2 linked regions of the Nothobranchius furzeri genome follow. The protein of the gene in region 1 interacts with the protein of each later gene in a pairwise test. Links are inferred from orthologs where the notes say so. Each region holds a gene or a part of one and is shown in the gene's direction. Other genes may lie near its edges.

Region 1 (9,520 bases):
GCTCCTCAATCCCACCAATGCGCATTCCGAGGAGGAACCAGAGCTGGGAGGCCTGGGGATGGACTGTCCGATCTCGGGGGCAGAAGTTGCTGAGGTAGTCAAACAACTACACAGCAGCGGAGCCCCGGGGGCGGATGAGGTTCGTCCTGGGTATCTCAAGGCTATGGATGTTGTAGGGCTGTCATGGTTGACACGTCTCTACAACATTGCGTGGTCATCGGGGGCAGTTCCTAGGGAGTGGCAGACCGGGGTGGTGGTCCCCATCTTTAAGAAGGGTGACCTGAGGGTGTGTTCCAACTATAGGGGGATCACACTCCTCAGCCTCCCTGGAAAGGTCTACGCCAAGGTACTGGAGAGGAGGGTCCGATCGATAGTTGAATCTCAGATAGAGGAGGAGCAATGTGGTTTTCGTCCTGGCCGTGGAACTGTGGACCAGCTCTATACCCTTGCAAGGGTGATGGAGGGGGCATGGGAGTTTGCCCAACCAATCCACATGTGTTTTGTGGATTTGGAGAAGGCTTATGACCGTGTCCCCAGGGGCACCCTGTGGGGGACGCTCCAGGAGTATGGGGTGGGTGGCTTTCTGTTAAGGGCCATTCAGTCCCTTTACCAGAGGAGCGTGAGTTTGGTCCGCATAGCCGGTAGTAAGTCGGACCTGTTCCCAGTGAGGGTTGGACTCCGCCAGGGCTGCCCTTTGTCACCGGTTCTGTTCATCACTTTTATGGACAGAATTTCTAGACGCAGCCGTGGTGTGGAGTGTGTCGAGTTTGGTGGCAGGAGAATCTCGTCTCTGCTTTTTGCGGATGATGTGGTCCTCCTAGCTTCATCCAGCTCTGACCTTCAGCTCTTGCTGGGTAGGTTCGCGGCCGAATGTGAAGCGGCTGGGATGAGGATCAGCACCTCCAAATCTGAGACCATGGTTCTCGACCGGAAAAGGGTGGCTTGCCACCTCCGGGTCGGGGGAGAGGTCCTACCTCAAGTGGAGGAGTTTAAGTATCTCGGGGTCTTGTTCACGAGTGAGGGTAGGAGGGATCGGGAGATCGACAGGCGGACATCAGATTAGGGTTTCACACAATTCAGCTAAGAAATACCTAAAAGTGGGATCTGGTGTTGGAACAGCCAATGGGAAAGGGAATACTTGGTTACGTGCAAACTTGAAAGAAGGTGATATAATAAAGGTTTAAACTGCTGTTTAAGTTATAGTACTCATGTATTCAGGGCAGGGCGGGAGTTAAAATAGTAAAAATGGATCTTGAAACAGTTATGATGCACTACAACAGAAAAATATGCTGCTTTATGAAAAAATGCCACAATATTTAAATATTTGTTTGATGTGACATTTAATTAAAACATTACATAATGAAATATTTTCCATCCATGAGAGTGTTGTTTTCTTTTACTTCAGGCAACAAAACCAAGTGATGAGAGTCAGCCAGTTCCTTTCTGCAGAACACAGTTCTTCTTTACAATCTCTGAAAGAATTCAGCATTAAATACATCCGCTTCCTGCTTTGAGCGCACCAAAATTGTCCACAATTGTCCTCAAGGGAAGACTGAGCTTTTATTGTAAATAAAGGTTTGAGTCATTCAACAAATGATTTACTACGTAACTTAAAGACCAAAAGTGTTTGTCTACATTCATACGGAAACAAAGCAGCTCATAATACGGACTCCAAAGCTACTGGAACCATAAGTGATTTATAAACTGTCTAAAACTTAGTCACAGTTCCGAATTTTAAAAATGCTGTTTCAACCATCGTATTACAGCTATCAGTGAGACTTAGGCAACAAACCGGTTACGCCACTCCCTTACTGTAAGTTGGCTTCTGTTTCTGTGGTTGTCAGTTACATAAGAGCAACTCTGACGTTCAATGCAGCTGTTTACTTTGGACCAAGAAACTAGAGCCCTGCACGGGCCTAAAATCTGAGCCCGTGTCCGGCCCGGCCCGAGGGCCTAGGCCTTCAGTGCAGGGCTCTACAAGAAACTACCCTGACAACATGTTTGTCATTTATGAAGCCACTTAACTCAGTGGTGTTAATATTCAAGAATAAAAAAAGGCATCACAAAGAATGGCAGTAAAAACAGCAGATAGCTTGGCAACAAAACAAAAAAAACTTCGCATCAGGGTATTTTAAGGGTCTGTATCACGAGTCATCCAATGGACCATACAGAGAATTAAACGCAGTGACTTGTTACAATGACAGATAAAAGCAATCCACCGGTACAAATCTTTAAACCCAACGAGTCGGGATGATTCCGTCAGCAAAGCAGTTACAGTCGCACAGAGTCGTCTTCTCATGCTCATTAACGTGTTTTAAAATCACTGAAAGAAATCAATTCATTCATTCATTCATTCATTCATTCATTCTGTGGGGCCAAAGTTTCTCCAAACGAAACCCATCCACCACAGGTGATGGAAGAGGACAGACCAGTTGACGCGTGGGGTGAAATAAAATGTTGTTCTTTTATTTTCTTACAGCTCCATCTGACATTTGTTCCCATAGTCAATCAATTCTTTCTGTAAGCTCCAACATAATCTAACCTGCTTCAGCACGGCCCAAAACTGTTTGCCCCTGTCTCCATCCAACACACCTGTGCCCATGTGCACCATGATTAAAGAGATGGAGACAGTGACTTGTTCAAAAGTTCAGTGGGTTTGCCTCCATCTAGTGTAAAAACCAATAACTACACCTTCAGTTAAAATGGCTCCCACACATTCATTCATTCATTCATTCATTCATTCATTCAAATTTGTAATCTTCCTTCAAAAGATTATTCAAATTAAATGCATTATTGGCTCTTGAAATAGGAGTGGGAGCTTAGATTTCACCTTTCCAGTACCTATATTCAGAGGTGTGGACTCGAGTCACATGACTTGGACTTGAGTCATTATTTTAATGACTTCTGACTTGACTTGATAAAATCTATAAAGACTTATGACTCGGACTTGAACACCAATGACTTGCGACTTGAATCGACTTGCATCTGTTGACTTGATGATAACTTGAGCATATTTGATATTTTAGCACAAAAATTGCATGACATGAACAAAAATCATAAATCATTCTTCGTTCTGGGTTTGATCTTGTTCTGCTAACTGCAGCAGCTCTTTGTTTATAATCAGTTTCAGTTATTTCTGCTTGTTTCAGCAAATAAATGAAACTTTAAGAAGCTTTATTTCTGGAATTTATTTATTATCATCGTCATTAAACTGAAGTTGGACAGATGACTTGATTATGACTTGAAAATTCAAAGTTAAGAACTTGGACTTTCACATCATTGACTTTGGACTCGACTTGGACTTGGTTGTCTTTTACTTGGACTTGACTCGAGACTTGACTGGAAAGACTTGTGACTTTCTTGTGACTTGCAAAGCAGTGACTTGGTCACACCTCTGCCTATAATACAGCTTTAAATCTCATTCCTAAGCAGTTACAGTCTAGGTCACACCTTCCTGCATCTAATCAGCATAATGACTCTCTCTCAATAGAGGCCAATGACTCATCTGGGGATGGAGAGGCGGGGTACTCAGAGTAGTTTCAGCTCGTTAAATAACAATAGGCAGCTACAACTTTTAAGCTTGACTCTCCCAGTTGGAATTGAAAAAGCTCCTCAGGCGAGAAGTGAAATGTCTTCAAGAAACCAAAGGAGTCCAGTAGCCTTCATTTTAACCCTTTGGTTGCATTTGGATATCACACCATTCAGTACTAAATTTACGCTGCACTACCCCAAATGCTGCGTTTAGAAAGTCCAGAGTTTAAATAATGGTGAATAAGTAAATAGCAATGTCATCAGTATACCAGTGAAGAGCAACAATTGAAACAAAACGTTATTGATGAAAAGCGTGCAAGTATGGAGCCCTGGGGTACACATTTTGTGCAGGTAGAAGGAAGAAAAAGAGCTAGATAGGTCAATGAATACTGCAACTGTACTTTTTACGGTCTGAGCCACAGTTATATCTTTAACTACCTTTAACAGAAGTGGTGCTGTGCTATTTGTGAAAGCCTGCTTGACAGATATGGTGCCAAAATACCATTTGTGTCTAAGAAATCTTTAACCTTCGCCAGAACACAGTCTAGACATTGGTCTGTAAATATTGAAAAAATGGCCCAATCTCCAGAACAGAACTGACTCGCGTCGTGTGATCAATTTCATCATATCCAGTACTAAAATGATGTGTTGGTTCAATCTGTGGATGTGCACCGACTTATTAGTTTTTACAGATTTTCAAAAGAACCAAGAGCCTGTTTTGGGCTATTACCAAATATTTCAAGATTGTTGCAGCAATGTTATCTGAGTCATTCCAATGCTGGATTTTGACACATCACTGCCTTTCTCACTTCCAAGAAGAATTTAGATTTTTTTCTTTCCCATGAATTTGACACTATTTGGAAATAGTTATTACTTCATCAGTCAGACAACTTTATTGATTGGTATCCAACAGATCGAAATCAGCAGCTCATTTGTAACAAGTCAGTCCACATTCACTTCAAATACACATAATAAATCATAGTTGTTAAAAATTAGAATGATTACTTATGGGAGTATTTGCATTTATTCTAAAAGTCATTACACGTTCGTGCCTAAGTGCGAACCCTTAGGTTGGTGCTCCCTCTATTGGAGAAAATAATGGGTGCTTTGGCAGTAATTACTAAATTCTGACAAAACAAAAAAGTACTCACGCATACTTTTTATTTTTTATTTTCAATATCGATTGTGGTCACGTGATAGTGCTTGAAGCGTAATACTGGCGTAATAATAAGATATAAATAATAAAAGAACAGCTTGTAACAGCATTGTGTTCAGGCATTATTCAAGAATCCTCATTGTTTGCGTTGACTTGAGCAAGGACCCCAGGATGTCCATGCTCGCTGAACGTGAGTAGCGTTTCCTCACAAATGTGTTAAATGTTTCGTTGTTTCTTTGTGTTACAAATAATTTATTATATAATATATCGCTGTAAAAGCCCACAAACAAATACGTTGCATTATTACGCTAGCGTATCTTGTTTTTATGTCAAGTTTCTTATAAGTATCTGGGTAGTTAGCATTAGCTTGTCAGCGGTTAGTGACGGTAGCGCGTGTCGGCCTTAAATCCGAGTTTTTGTGACTCGTCTTCAGGTCATTTATGATCTAATGCATTGTTCGTGACTGAATTATTGTTGTATTTAATTGCGTGTTTGCTCATCAATTCTCTTGCTTGTAAACATGGTGCTGTAGTTTCATATAATGCTGTTGCATTGTTTTAGCCCGCAGGAAACAGAAGTGGTCAGTCGATCCCAGGAACAGCGCCTGGAGTAATGACGACTCGAAATTCGGTCAGAAAATGCTGGAGCGAATGGGCTGGTCCAAGGGCAAAGTACGTCTGATGAACGCTTGTTTTTTTCCTGTACATTAGTGTATCTTAACTTTCAGAATATTGCAGTTTGCAAATAGTGTTGCTCACTGAGAACTCAGCCTTAAGAGTGGTTTAATTTGACTCTGAACTGTAAATTATGTGCTGACAAAACCAAAAGCTACAGTAATATTACACATAATTTATTGTTTCAAGTCAGAGGACTCCAAAGCGCTTTACACTACAGCGTATCATTCAGCCATTCACACACGCATCCACTCACTGATTTTGATGAGCTACAATGTAGCCACAGCTGCCTTGGGACTCAGAGGGAACTCAAATGTATGAGGCAGGTAAATCGTACATTTCACCTGTAACCGTGCATGCCACGGCCAAATACACATAGCAGAAAGCCTGGTTTGGAAAGCTTCGGTGTCTCCATCACTGTTGAACACATAAGATTGCATTGATGTTATTGTGTAACAGGATAATGCCAGGACCATTTAAACTTAGGAGTAGGGCTGGGCGATATGGCAAAAATAGAATATCACGATTTTGATTTTATCACGATTTTTTATCCATGAATAGTGTAACACTCCTGTGTAGGCGATTACAGGGGAAATAGTTATTTGAACTAAGGGTTGGACCAGTATGGATGAGGTAGGTTCGACTACTGGAGCAAATTTAGGATTTGAGTAAAATTAAAAGAAGAAAGAGACCACAGACCAGAATTAAACTGCCGGCTTATTATTTGTAATAGTAAGTAGACTATACACGAACAATAAACACACAACACAAATTTACATTTGGTGACCCCTTGTTAAGATTTTTGGAATTAAATGGGTTAAGTGGTTTTTTTTCTTTTAAAACCCGTATTTTGGGATTTAACACTTAATTCTAATTTGGGATAGGTTGCAACCTTTCAATAGACTCTAGTTCACGTTATCTGGTTTTTTCTATTTGTCCCCTTTTTAAGTTCACTCAATTAGAATAAACCATCAAATTCAGCTCTATGGTTCCAGCAAAACCTTAGTTCTCTTTGACCCACGTTAATAAATTTTTTCGCAGGTATAACCCTTTCATGGAAGTAACCTTGCATAGAAAAAGATTTACCCTTTTACCCGTATTCAAGTTCCCACAATCAAGTAAAACCAACCAAAAAAAAACTTTACACAACCAAAATAATCCAGCAAAAGGCTGAACACATGTGCAGTTCACAGTCTCTAGTCTCCTTGTCGGTGATTCTGAAGAACAGTTCGGCTCTTATTGAGTTCAGTGCCTTCCTGAAACAAGAAATAAAGCAACTCCCACCAGTGTTTGGAAGACCTATCCAATGTTGGTGAAGTCCAGGGCTGATTCAGCAGAGGGAGGTCTGCTGGCGACTACGGCTCAGCTCGCGAATCCATGGGTGGCCCGCCATCTTAGCTCTTCACGTGGTTCCCGCGGTCGAGTTTAGGAGGTTGTTTTCCGACCCACACTAAAAGGCCTAGCATAACAAAATATGCATACATGAATAAAATGAGGCACCAGGTAGTGCTGAAATAAAACCCAGCTTCTGTCTCATTTGTGCCGATGAATATGCAGCTCCTTCAAAACGGACAGAAAACGGCAACCGCCGGCCGTTACATTAACAGCCCTTCTCCCTCCAGCACTCACCATAACATGCTTCCCCATTTCACCCAGTCACTACTTTAGCGCCACATTTACATGAAATAATAGTTACATTACACATCTTTGCTTAACTAAAATTATACATTTCTTTTAACTCACCAAGTCCTTTTCACAACTTTACAAAACGTCTCCAACTGGAACAGATTGGAACATCAAAAACGTTTCTTGCTGTATTTTTGGTCACAAAAGGAAAATTCGCCTTAGGCAATTTCTTTTAACTCTTCAGCTCTCCTTCTCTCTCGCTGCGGTAGCTCTGCGTGCTGCAGTAGTTCTGGGTGTTGCTGCTCATCTCCCTCGCTTAGCTGCGACTAAGCAACCGAGCGATCCGGTTGGCTGTTGCCAATCACATGGCTCGCACAACATCCGTTTACAAAAATAAAAGTCTGATGTCTTAAAAGTCTGATCAATAAAAGTAACATTTCTGTAATATAAGTTTTTTTATTTGTTTAATTTATTTTTAAACAACTACAAACTATATTAATATAATTAAAACTATCCTGAAACCTGGGTTACAACAGCATAACTTCAATTGCGTATTAAAGAAGAGAAACGTTGAATAAATAAACATTTATTCATATTAGGGATAATCAGCACAGTGCTAACATACTTATATTTTAAACTCACACCAGAGATGATAAAAGCCCTGAGAGAAACAATTACAAAAATCAGTTTTTCTCGTTTTTCAAGTAACTTAACATAAATTAAAATCGTAAACATATTTAAAGTGCAAACATGTCAATTGCAAATGTATTGTGCAAACATTAACTTGTTCAAAATACTATGTAGCTCCCAGCTGCTCATGTAGTGGATAGTTAAGCTCAAATACGTCTCTGATGTGCGGCTGGACCTTGTGGTAGCAAAAAACTGCGCATTCTGAATATTTTCTGCAACTCTCACTTTGCATTCAGCGTACATGCGTGGAATGGCGGTGTTCGAAAAATACTTGCGGCTGGAAAACTCGTAGCGCGGATCCAATGTTTTTATCATTTTCTTAAATCCCACTCCTACTGTTCGCACGGGACACAAATCTTTAACCAAGTGGTACGTCACTGCATCGGTCACGCTGTTTCATCGTCTGCTGTCTCTCTCGTAAGGAATGAGTTCTGTGTTTCTGTTAGCGTTTGCTGCCAGGAAGAAGCACTAGCCGCTGCTGCCGCAGGCTTTTTAGCTTTAGTTGCCAGCTGGCTGTCATTGTATTGTTTGGGATGCCTTCTTTTCAAGTGATTAAACAAGTTTGTGGTGTTGCCATCACTTGCCTTGATGCTCTCCTTGTAAATGACGTTTCGCTGCTCTTTGTCATCTGGTGAAAAACCAACCCAGTTCCATATAATGGACGAGGCGTTCCTCTTTGGAACGAAAACCTCGTTGTCGCTCTCAGCCGCGGCCGAAGCCATGTTTGTTCACACACAGGTGAAAACAAGCGGGGCATTAATATATTACTATGACTCACTCTGATTGGTTAAGGGTCAAACAAAGGCGTGTCATTCACCTGAGGTAAGTTCCCGTTTCATTCAGAGGCAGAAATTCAACAACAGAGCTGTGAATCGTGAAAAAAAGGTCTCTCAAAAATGACAGACCGTCAGATGTGTAGATCGTAAAACGGTCTAAAACCGTCATATTGCCCAGCCCTACTTAGGAGTTATACACTCTTACTGCAGAGAGGATGAATGACCTCCGGTAGGATTCTGTTTTACATTTTGGATGTCTCAGTCTGCCAATAAAATATGTAAAATCTATGTAAAACAAAAAAAATGGAAGGTCTGACTCTAATGTTTCATATGAATTTGCGTTACCCAATAAAGTAAATAACTCACTCACATGAAATCATGTCAGAAAACCCTTTTTCTCTGTATCTTCAGGGTCTGGGGAGGAGTGAGCAAGGCTCCACCGACCACATCAAAGTAAAGGTTAAAAATGACAGCTATGGGTTTGGAGCCAACGCCAGTTACGAGGTGACTACAGTTAAGAGACAAGTTTATTTATATCGAAGTAAAAAATATATTTATCATTTGATTCCTGTTTGGCTTTTAGGTCTTTTGGATACTTCTGCAAAATAACAGGAAAATAAAAATCTTGTCCTATAGTTATTTTCCTTTTTGTGTTGCTGAGATCGTTTACGTTTGCAGGACAACTGGATTGCTCACCAAGATGAATTCAATGATCTTCTTGCTCAGCTGAACGGTCACCATGGTCAAAACACCACAGATGGTATGTACCAGTTTACACTGAGTTAGTTTTCTGAATCTGTCGGGTGTGTTTCAGCTCAGCTGTGCTCCACTCTACTAACTTAAAAATGTTTTCGTTAGACTCAAAGTGGTTCACATGGTTTTACTTACTAAGAGTTGTTGGACAGCAGAGGGTGCTACAGTTCAACGTTTTGTAAAGCATATGCCCAACCAATCATTATTTCCATGTTCTAAATAGAACACACACATACTTAAACAAGTAGTTAATGCTGGTTTTGATTTTGGCTTCTTCTCTGTAGAAACCCCGTCAGAGGAGAAGAAAGGTTTCA
Region 2 (9,729 bases), about 7.2 Mb from region 1:
GATTCATTTCTATGAGTTTGGCGTGGATGATGAGAACACACCTCTCACCTTTCCTTTCAGTGATGAGCGTCTGCCGCCGGGCCTTCATGTCCAGGCTCAGGTTCTCCACCATACGGTTGATGCAGTTGTCCAGGGCCAGACACCGGGTCTGGGACTCGATAGCCTGTCTACAGATGGGACACTCGTTTTTCTTCTTGCGCCACAACTTGATGCAGTAACAGCAGAAGCTGTGAGCACAGTTCAGGATGACCGCCTGTACAGGGACATTTTTTTTTAATTTCAGCAGGTGAAGTCGGGTTTTTGTGAGTAAGATGATCCCAAACAGGTTCCTGGCTCTACCTCGATGAAGAGCTCTGAGCAGATGATGCACTGGAGCTCGTTCTCCAGAACCTCTGTGACTTGTGTTACTACCTCCTCCTTTTGGGCTTTCGCCTTTTCTTTTTCCTCCTGGAGGAAAAAAAATATGAATCAAAGTGACAACCAAGGTAAAAATGTGTGTTTTAAAAAGTGTCTTTCAGGCACCTTTGTTTCTTCTAGTTCTTTGTTTTTCGCAGAGAGGATTTCTTCAAATGTTTTTCGAGAGTCGGCAAGCTCGTCGATCACTTTCTTTTGCTGTTTGTTGAAAAAACAGGCACAAAAAAACTTTTTATTACATTTAATCAAAAACTTAAAGAAATAAACTAAAAAACTGTTAGTTTAAATTAAATGTGTTAACAGCTTTTAATTAGTTTAATTGAACCTTCTTACTTCCTGAAGAGCCTCTTCAAGTTGTTTTTTCATTAGCTCCTCTTGCTGCTGTGTTTTCTGCTCCTAAACGCATAAAAGACAGACGATTCACTTAAATTGAAACTTTATTTTTATGGACATATATATTTTTCTAATTGTAAATGCAGATGAACCTTTTGATTCACATATGTCAGAACAAGAAGGGTGAGGAACGTGTTACTTTCCATATGTGGCGCTTTTGTTTGAAACCCCAAAAAAGATGCTCAATATTAATATGCTCTGGAATATTAATATCGATATGGAATATGATGCAGAAATGTAGCTCTTTAACAGGTTTTGTTATGTTTAAGATCTTTTTTTTGCAACGTTACCAAGATTATTTAAAGTATGGCTGAATCATTTTGAAATGTGGAGAATTAAAAGTTAAACTAACGCTGTAAAATAAAGCAATTGCGGGTTGGGGGAATGAAAATGTAACGATGTTTCAAAAAGAAAAAAAAACAACACTCCTGACCTCCAACTGTCTCCTTGTTTTACTGAAGGTTCTCTCTAAAGTCTTCATTTGACACATTTTGGCTCTAAGGGTTTCCAGTTGACCCTGCAGCTCACGGACCTGCTCCCGTCGGAGAGGATCTGCCCGCCTGGGTTCTCCTCCAAGAGATGATACCTGCTTCTGGGTGTCATCCACCTGCTCCCGTAACAGCAGGAGATTCTGGCTGTACCTGCAGGTTATACATTAATATTTACAACTTTTACACAACAGAACATCAGAATGGACAACTCCTAAAGAGTATTATTTTCATTAAAAGTAGAGAGGAGTCTGTTTGAATATGTGACACATAATTCAGCAAATGTATTAAATAAAAGCTTGTAAAGGAGCAGTGTCTTTGGTTTGATTGAGAACCTTTTTTACGAGGAGTCACACTTTACCTCTGCAGGTTGTCCACTTCACAAGGATCACTGGATCCATCAGAGTGCTGCTCTTGTTTTTGTGTGCTGGATGCCGTCTCCTCCAGGTGTGTGTTACTGAGCCGCTGCTGGCATTTCACCGCAGACAGAGGACAGGGTTTTGCAAAAGATTTCCCTTCTGAATCGCAGCGGTACAGCTTAGGCTTTGATGTAGAAGGCTCGACTTCCTCCACAGTCAACTTCCTTTTGGATTTTTTGGAGACTTGCGGCTCTTTAGCCCAAGTTCTACATGCCTTTGCCAGGTACGGCTGAATGTTTCTGAGCAGTCGCCGGATGAGGATGTAATCAAATTCTACTTTGGTTCCTGATAAAGGAACTCCAAGTCGGATCGAGTCTCCAAGTTTGAGCAGGTAAGGTTCATCGGCAGAAATCCGATTTCCGTTCACCCAGACACCATTGAGACTCTGTGGAAGATAATTAATAATAATAATAATAATAATAACTTATTTACTAAGATTTAACTTGGTATTAGCTGCTGCTGTTAATAATAGCCCCATCATCTGTTAGAGATCAATTTTAGGAGAGTTAGCTCAAGAAATAAGGCTACCTTTTTGTCTACCACTGTCCAGTGACCGTCTTCTATCTGTCTGAAGGCACAGTGCAGTCTGGAGATCATGAGAGGACTACTTGAAGACAGCAGCTGGTAGGTGACATCCAAACCACGTCCAACAGTGATCTGAGCAGTCAAAAACAAACGTCAATTTACAGTTTTTCCATATAAACAGGGTCCACTACGCCGTTAGAAAAAACTTAATGAATAAAATGGCATGCCTATTGTATGTATACATAGCACAATCCTGAAAATGATTTTTTTTAGTTAAGCTAACATTAGCAAACTGTACCTCTGCCTTTTCGAACAAACGAAGCCAGTCTGATTTTTTTCCGACTCTCATCAGACACAAGACCTCCGAGTCCGAACATTCACCGTCCTCAGCCGAACATGAATCCGCCGTTGCACTATCCATGTTAAGCCATTCTGTCACAGGCCAAACACTCCGCTGTTGTTGTGTCTTATATGTATATGTCGATGTGTGTCTTCCGTCACATAACTGCTACATGCTAACGCGGTAGCGATCCGGGAGACACCGGAAAACGGTACAATTCATTTCGAAATAAAAGCGACGGGAAACTGCTAAAATAAATATCAATGTTTTATTTATTATTTCTTGTATAACGGCACGTATCACGTGTTGTAAATCTTTTGAACAAGGCAAAATAAATAAAAAAGTATGAATAGAATAGGTTTCTGGGATACGTTACTCTTTATTTATTGACATTTTTAAACATGAAAGTAACGTTAAAAAGTAAATGCTAGTATTTTGGATGATAAATATTTTAATATATTAAATATATTTTTGCTTTATGAAGTTTAAATTTTTTTTAAAGCAATGAATTTTTTTTATCGAAAATTCAAATTAGAGCACTTTGTTGTTGTGATTTGTTCTCAGTCAGGCAACCCAGCACCCTAAAACGAGTGCACCTAACCCCGGGGCGGGACTTCCTGTCTGCACCGGAAGTCCCAGTGTTGAACAGGCAGAAAGGGCTTGGTCCGTGTGTCACCGGTCTTATCCGCGTATGTCTGGACGGGAGATAACCAGGCTGCCGAAGCTGCGTAAATAAATCTCCACCTCGGCTATGCTGCCCTGAGAGCGCCGCGAGTATCCGCCCCGCCAAAATGTCTGATGTCAACAAGACTATTCAGAAATGGCACGCCAGTTTCAAGAAAGGCACAGACTTTGACTCGTGGGGACAATTGGTAGAGGCTATAGACGAGTACCAAATGTGAGTTACATTCAACATGTGTGTCTTATTTTTGTACGATTGAGTGTAAACATCTGGAACAGCGAGGACGGCTTGTTTAGCTTTTTATTTTTTTGCTGTCTTAAAGCTTGTCAGCTCTTAAACCTGCAGAAGTTAGCCTCGGAGCTGTCAGTCAGCCCCCACAGCAGTAAATAAACCCTTCCCATCCATGACGTGATGTGGCATTGTTGCAGAGGCAGCGGAGTCCCATCCCATCTTCATTCACAGAGGGGAGAAGAACAAAAAGAAACACCCAAAGCTGAATGTCTTGTTTCTGAGCGTTAGGAGAAGAGAATAACCAATATTCCTTAGAGTGTTGGGAAACAGTCAGCCACACCCTCTCATTGTTATGGGTGGGTTTCGTGTGTTCAGTGAGGAAAGCTCTCTTGTTCTCTGAGGAGATCAGACTCCGCAAGTTATTTCAGGATGTGATCATGTTTATGTAATAATTCATTTTAATGACACGTTTTAGATTTCTTTAGTGCAGATAGATGACTTGACAGTGTCCCACGTTGACCAAAAGGGGGCGCAGAACAGCCCACTGATGTGACAAATCGTCTTGGAATTGATTGATTAACCCATCTAACTGTTCTCGTTAATCCAGATTAGCAAGGCAGCTGCAGAAAGAGGTCCAAAATTCAAATTCATCAGATTTCACAGAAGAGCAGAAGGTAATAATTGCATCAGTCTGCAGGCTAAACTCGCCTGCTTTGCTTCAAATCACAGCATCTTGTTTCTTTCTGGACATTCAGAAAACCTTAGGAAAGATTGCAACATGCCTGGAGATGAGAAGTGCCAGTTTGCAGGTTTGTGTTCTTACTTATTTCTCTTTTTGTATGATAGTGGACAACCAGACTTAGATGTGTTTTGTTGTTACTGTGAACTTTTGTTGTTATTGTGCACTTTTCTGGCTTTAGCGTCATTATTTTCAATATTTGTATGGCAGTTTGTCAGTTTTGCATCATGTTTTGTTCTCCTTTTGCAGCAGTTTGTGGTAATTTTATTTCCTGTCTGAGTTTTTGTGTTTGAGGTTTGTAGATTTATGGATTTTTTTTTCATCTTCATTGCTTTGTGATACAATTCTAGTTGTTTTTTCACACTTTCCCGTTTATGTTGCAGTATTTGATATATTTATTTTAATATAAAGACCCTTTCCAACTAAAAAAATAAAAAAAAGCACAAAGGGTGATTAAAATCCTTCAAAACTTAATTTCTGAGCATGTGGCGATCATATTCATGTATTTATTACCAAAGTAAGACATGAACGTAAATCTTTCTCTTGAGTTCTGATCTTTTCCTGTCTGTGTGTCTCCTCAGTGCACACAATCACAAGAAGAGTTCAAGTTAGAAGACCTGAAGAAACTGGAAACCAGTAGGTTTACAGCTACTCATTTTGCAGGAGTTGTCGTTAACGTTCTAACCATCCTGTTTCTTCCAGTAATAAAGAACATCCTCAGCCATAACAAAGAGTTTCCCTTCGACGTCCAGCCAGTGCCATTAAGGTAACATTTATCTTAAAGCTTCAGAGTTAAAAAAAAGGGTTAAATATTTACAGGGGAGTGTGTTGCTATGGATACAGAGGGAAAAAAAGAGAGCATATTTATTGATATAAAGGAAACGGAAAAAACAGCTTTTCCAATGATTTCAGTCGGGTGATGCGACAGGTCTTTTCTCTCCATCAGGAAAATCCTGGCTCCAGGTGAGGAGGAGGACCTGGATCTGGAGGAGGAGGAGGATGCACCTGCAGGAGCCGGTTCTACCGAAGCGTTCCCACCTAGAGCTCCCGGTACTCTCGCTGCTCGATCTCGTGTGTTGTGTCTCAAAACGTCCGTTTGACCGTGCATGTTTCTGTTCTCTCTGTCGGCGCTGTGCTGCATGGCTTCTTCGTTCATCTCTGCCTGCTTCCTCTGCAGCTTCTCAAGGTACAGATTTGTGTGAACACGAGTCCTGATTTTGTCAGGATCACGCTGTGGGTTGTAAAGCTTCTTTCAACAATCTCAGATACAATAAAAAAACACTGAAAACACTAACTTATCTGTTTAGGTACTCTGTTGCCACGGTTACCTTCAGAACCTGGGATGACACTACTTACTCTAAAGATAGAGAAGATTGGGTTGAAGGATGCTGGACAGTGCATCGATCCCTACGTCACCGTCAGTGTCAAGGGTACTGCATCCTGCTGGACTTCGGTTTCGGTCCGTTTAGTAAAAACAGTAAAAAAAAGAAATGGGATTGTTTTTGCATTCTGTCCTCCAGATGTGAACGGTGTGGACTTGAACCCGGCTCAGGACACGCCTGTGGCCACCAGAAAGGAGGACACCTACATTCACTTTAGCGTCGACGTGGAGATCCAGAGACACATAGAGAAATTACCAAAAGGTAAGCGCAGGCGCTAGTCGGGCAGAATGAAATCCGTTCAAATAAAACAGGAAATGGTTCCGCCTCTGCTCAGCAGCGGCATAGAGCCCTGAAAAATCAAAGCAAGGCAGCTGCTTCCTTCATTTATCTAGAAAATAGATGGTGATCCTTTCATTTAAGTGGCAAAAAGTTTTCACAGAGTCCCTTGAGGTGGTACTTTATCTGTGTGCACTCAGTAAAAGTTCCAGATATCCAGGTGGGACCACACACATCATATACATGGATACCCTGTGAGCTGGTGTAACAGCCGGTCGCCATCTTGAATGGGTCTCCGTTCGCCCCCAGTGCATTTATTTTTACTGAGGAATGTGTTTACACAAAAACACATTTTATGTCTTTTCACAAAACCAAACACATTGTATAGTTAAAAATATCACATAAATTGGGCTAGAAAAGTTAATAGTAATCCCACCTGTTCTGTTTTCAATAGTACGCCGGTTGTTACAACCGCTGGCTGCAAAAAAAAAAAATCGGGCATTGTTGCTAACTGCATTGACTCCAATTGGGTTTGGAGAGTGAAGAACCCACTCAATATGGCGGCCACACTGTTACACTCTTACTCACAATGGGGTGTTTATGTATACATGCCTATGGGTGGGACCTCTCTCCGGGGAACATTCGCGTTCTCCTTGTGCGTGTGTTGGTGTTTCCTCAGGTGCGTCAGTATAAAAAACAAAAACAAATCCAGACTTCTTTACTTCCTTGTCGTGAGCGCTTCATCAATGCGAGCTAGTGCTCAGATCCCTTCTGAGGGTTTTTGACGTCTTGATCTACGTGTAGAACATTCTGGTTGCGTTCCTGAAGGTGTAGCTTCCTGTGAAACTGACCGGGGATCAGATTTAGAGCTGCATGGTTAGTTTTGGCGAGTTGAAACCGAAGACAACCTCCTTAATGTTTTGACAAAGATGTTTTTTTATTTTTAAAGAAAGTAAAGAAGTCCAGTCACTCTAGGATCACCACGCCCTGGACGACTAAAACCTTCACCTGCAAGTTTGCAGGCGAACGTTTTCGATTCAAACTCAAACGCAAAGATCTTTGTGGGTTTGGTTCAAACTTTTTTCTCTGCATCAACCTGTTTCTGTAGCTTCTGCCGGTTTTCCACCAATCTATTTTTCACGGATTCTTCCAGGAGCGGCTATCTTCTTTGAGTTCAAGCACTACAAGCCCAAAAAGAGGTTCACCAGCACAAAGTGTTTCGCCTTCATGGAAATGGACGAGATCAAACCGGGACCGATCGTGATCGAGCTGTGAGCATTTCTCAAAGTGATTCGAAAAAGAAAGTAAATAAAATACGAAATAAAATTCTTATTCTTGTTTGGATTTCAGGTACAAGAAGCCGACGGATTTTAAGAGGAAGAAACTGCAGCTACTCACGAAGAAACCACTTTATCTCCACCTTCATCAGACACTACACAAGGACAACTGACTCCTCATCAGCAATACCAAATCCAGGTGGTGGTGTTTTCCACGAGTATGTGAACAAAATAACACTAACTGATCTGGATGTTCCTCACATGCAGCTCAGTAAAACCTTATAAACGCTGTTTTATTTTATATTTTAACAACTTGTAGCACATTAAAGCCGTCAAAACCACCTCATGTTCAGTCTTCCACCTTTAGATCCGATTTTTCTTTTTTAGGGACACTGGTGAGTTTTAGTTTGACTTTGCATAACTGGACTCTGGACTTTAAACCAAAAACCAGCCAAACATTAACCCCTTAGTTGCCATTTGAGAGGGAATAACCAATATTTGCACTTTTATTACAAACGAAGGAGATTTGTTTAAAATGACCCATCTTAATTGTTTGAGGCGCTGATGCCATTCAGCTGAATTTTTTTAATTAACCTTAGGATTTGTGGAAGCTAAGGGGTTAATGTCAGAGCCAGAAGTGTCCTAAACTGTTGATTTAAACGCAAACATCAAGCATTTGTCATAAAGTTCACCATATGTTCAAATTGATTGCCTCACAATGGCTTTGAATCATGAATTAACAGATTTTTAACTGGAATTCAGGTGTAACAACAGTTCATGAATGTATTTTTGTGCACATTTAACATCTTTGTATTGTTTTGCTTTAACATCTTTAGTAACATTTCTGTAGTGGCTTTAATTTATCAACAAATCTTTTTTTTATGTAAATTTGGAGGAAAAAATGAACCCATCTGCTCATTTTAACGTCATCACATCTTTTTTTTATTAAAACATTTTAGCACTAAATAATGGGATATAAATGAAGCCATCTTTTTGTTTAATTTTTTCAAACAACCATAAATACAAATGTATCACTAAACAATTCCCGCCAAACTAGTTTTTACTGGTTATAAGTTTGAATCACGTTTTTATATGTTCGTATACTGTATGTGTGTTTAATTGAGTTGTACTACATGTATTATAGTACCTTAAATCATTTTAAAGTATTTAATACTCAGCAAATGTTTCATAAATAAAATAAATGCCCTGCGAGGACTTTAATGTTCTAATTCAGTATTAAAGCTTTACGTCCTTTGAGAGAAGAAAATAAATACTGGATGGTTTCTGTTTTAATAAAATAATCAGAACAGCAGTTCATGTTGGATCTGCTGCAACTTTTCAGACGGTTTATCTCAGACCTGTGATCAGAAAGTTGCATTAATCTTTACCAGAGCAGAAATGTTCAGAACAAAGCTTTTATTGTGAAAGGTCAGGGCTGTTGATGTGACGTCAGATCGGCTTTTTAGATATAATTTTTCTAACTTAAAAAAAACCCGTGGATGTCGGATTTTTTTTTTACTGATTTAAAATTAACCCACACAATTTAAAAATTAACCCACACATTTGTTTTTAACTTCTAATAAATTAAGATAGTGAATTTTACATGTAATCCATGCAGCATTATGCACTTTTAAACTTCCCAATAATAGTCACGCCCATCTACTTCCGGACCATGGGTCCTCGGAAAAAGATAAATTGAATGAAAGGCGCTATCCTGTTCGTTATGACAGATTTAACAAACGATGTCCATGAATTTTAAAGAGATATTCTGATGTCAAGAAAGCGCCTAGCTTCGAAAGGGCGCAAACAAGAGTATTTTAAGTTTTGTGTGAAAATACGTCCAGGACTACAAGTGTGCATCACCAAATTGACGTCGTCGAACCACACACGGAGAGAAAAACGAAGAAAAATGGCTGTAAGATCTTCTCGTAAGATTTGCGAGCTTTGAATTCTTTCAGGAGGAAAAGAGAACTACCACAAACATTGCCATGTGGCAAGGTGGCAGCTACGTTAAGGCCAGAGAAAAATTGTGTGGTGACGTCACTTATGCGTCATTTTTACGTCTAATTCGTAGTCATAAATACGAATTTTTAGAAACTAAATCTCAAAGTAATGGCGACTGGCGTGGTCGAAACACACATTTACGTTTCGTTTAAATTGAAGTACAACACATGTGCGATCCCGGTGCGTAAAGCAAAGCGGATTAGCAAATAGCTCATACATTTTTCGTTCTTCTGGGGACCCACGAGCTGCCCGGAAAGGGAGGAGACATTAGTTTAAAATCAGCAAATAAAACATAACACACCTACACAGACACACACACACACACACAAAAAAAAAATGAAATTACTTCCCTATTCCTCCAATTGCTCTCAGACACGATGTTGAATTTAAATCTTTAGTTATCCGTGTAAAAATCTCACAGCATTTATGAAAATTTAATATCCAGCTGTGACTGATGAAAGCAGAAATATCAGAACATGCGAGTAAAAAAATACATCAGACTTGAAAAAAAGTGGTTTTATTTTACTTTACTGAAGCTAAAACTTCATCTTCAGTCGTT

The links.
Region 2: the proteins of pinx1 (region 1) and aida interact in binary tests that used the Homo sapiens proteins (3 or more experiments, as listed by UniProt). The link is inferred for Nothobranchius furzeri from reciprocal best matches to the Homo sapiens genes PINX1 and AIDA.

Annotation. Positions count from the first base shown.
Region 1 is NC_091742.1:1,141,590-1,151,109, forward strand, and holds the start of pinx1 (PIN2/TERF1-interacting telomerase inhibitor 1), read left to right. Parts: upstream 1-4,766; 5' UTR 4,767-4,858; coding exon 4,859-4,877; intron 4,878-5,248; coding exon 5,249-5,358; intron 5,359-8,864; coding exon 8,865-8,966; intron 8,967-9,131; coding exon 9,132-9,213; intron 9,214-9,490; coding exon 9,491-9,520. UniProt on the Homo sapiens protein: Microtubule-binding protein essential for faithful chromosome segregation. Mediates TRF1 and TERT accumulation in nucleolus and enhances TRF1 binding to telomeres. Inhibits telomerase activity. May inhibit cell proliferation and act as tumor suppressor.
Region 2 is NC_091742.1:8,352,972-8,362,700, reverse strand, and holds aida (axin interactor, dorsalization-associated protein), read left to right. Parts: upstream 1-3,232; 5' UTR 3,233-3,370; coding exon 3,371-3,477; intron 3,478-4,099; coding exon 4,100-4,166; intron 4,167-4,247; coding exon 4,248-4,301; intron 4,302-4,812; coding exon 4,813-4,867; intron 4,868-4,933; coding exon 4,934-4,997; intron 4,998-5,177; coding exon 5,178-5,281; intron 5,282-5,408; coding exon 5,409-5,417; intron 5,418-5,538; coding exon 5,539-5,661; intron 5,662-5,751; coding exon 5,752-5,874; intron 5,875-7,042; coding exon 7,043-7,160; intron 7,161-7,239; coding exon 7,240-7,339; 3' UTR 7,340-7,507; downstream 7,508-9,729. Other genes in the region: E3 ubiquitin-protein ligase rnf8, read right to left, coding at 49-253, 340-447, 523-612, 748-810, 1,241-1,448, 1,657-2,099, 2,243-2,371, 2,538-2,660. UniProt on the Homo sapiens protein: Acts as a ventralizing factor during embryogenesis. Inhibits axin-mediated JNK activation by binding axin and disrupting axin homodimerization. This in turn antagonizes a Wnt/beta-catenin-independent dorsalization pathway activated by AXIN/JNK-signaling.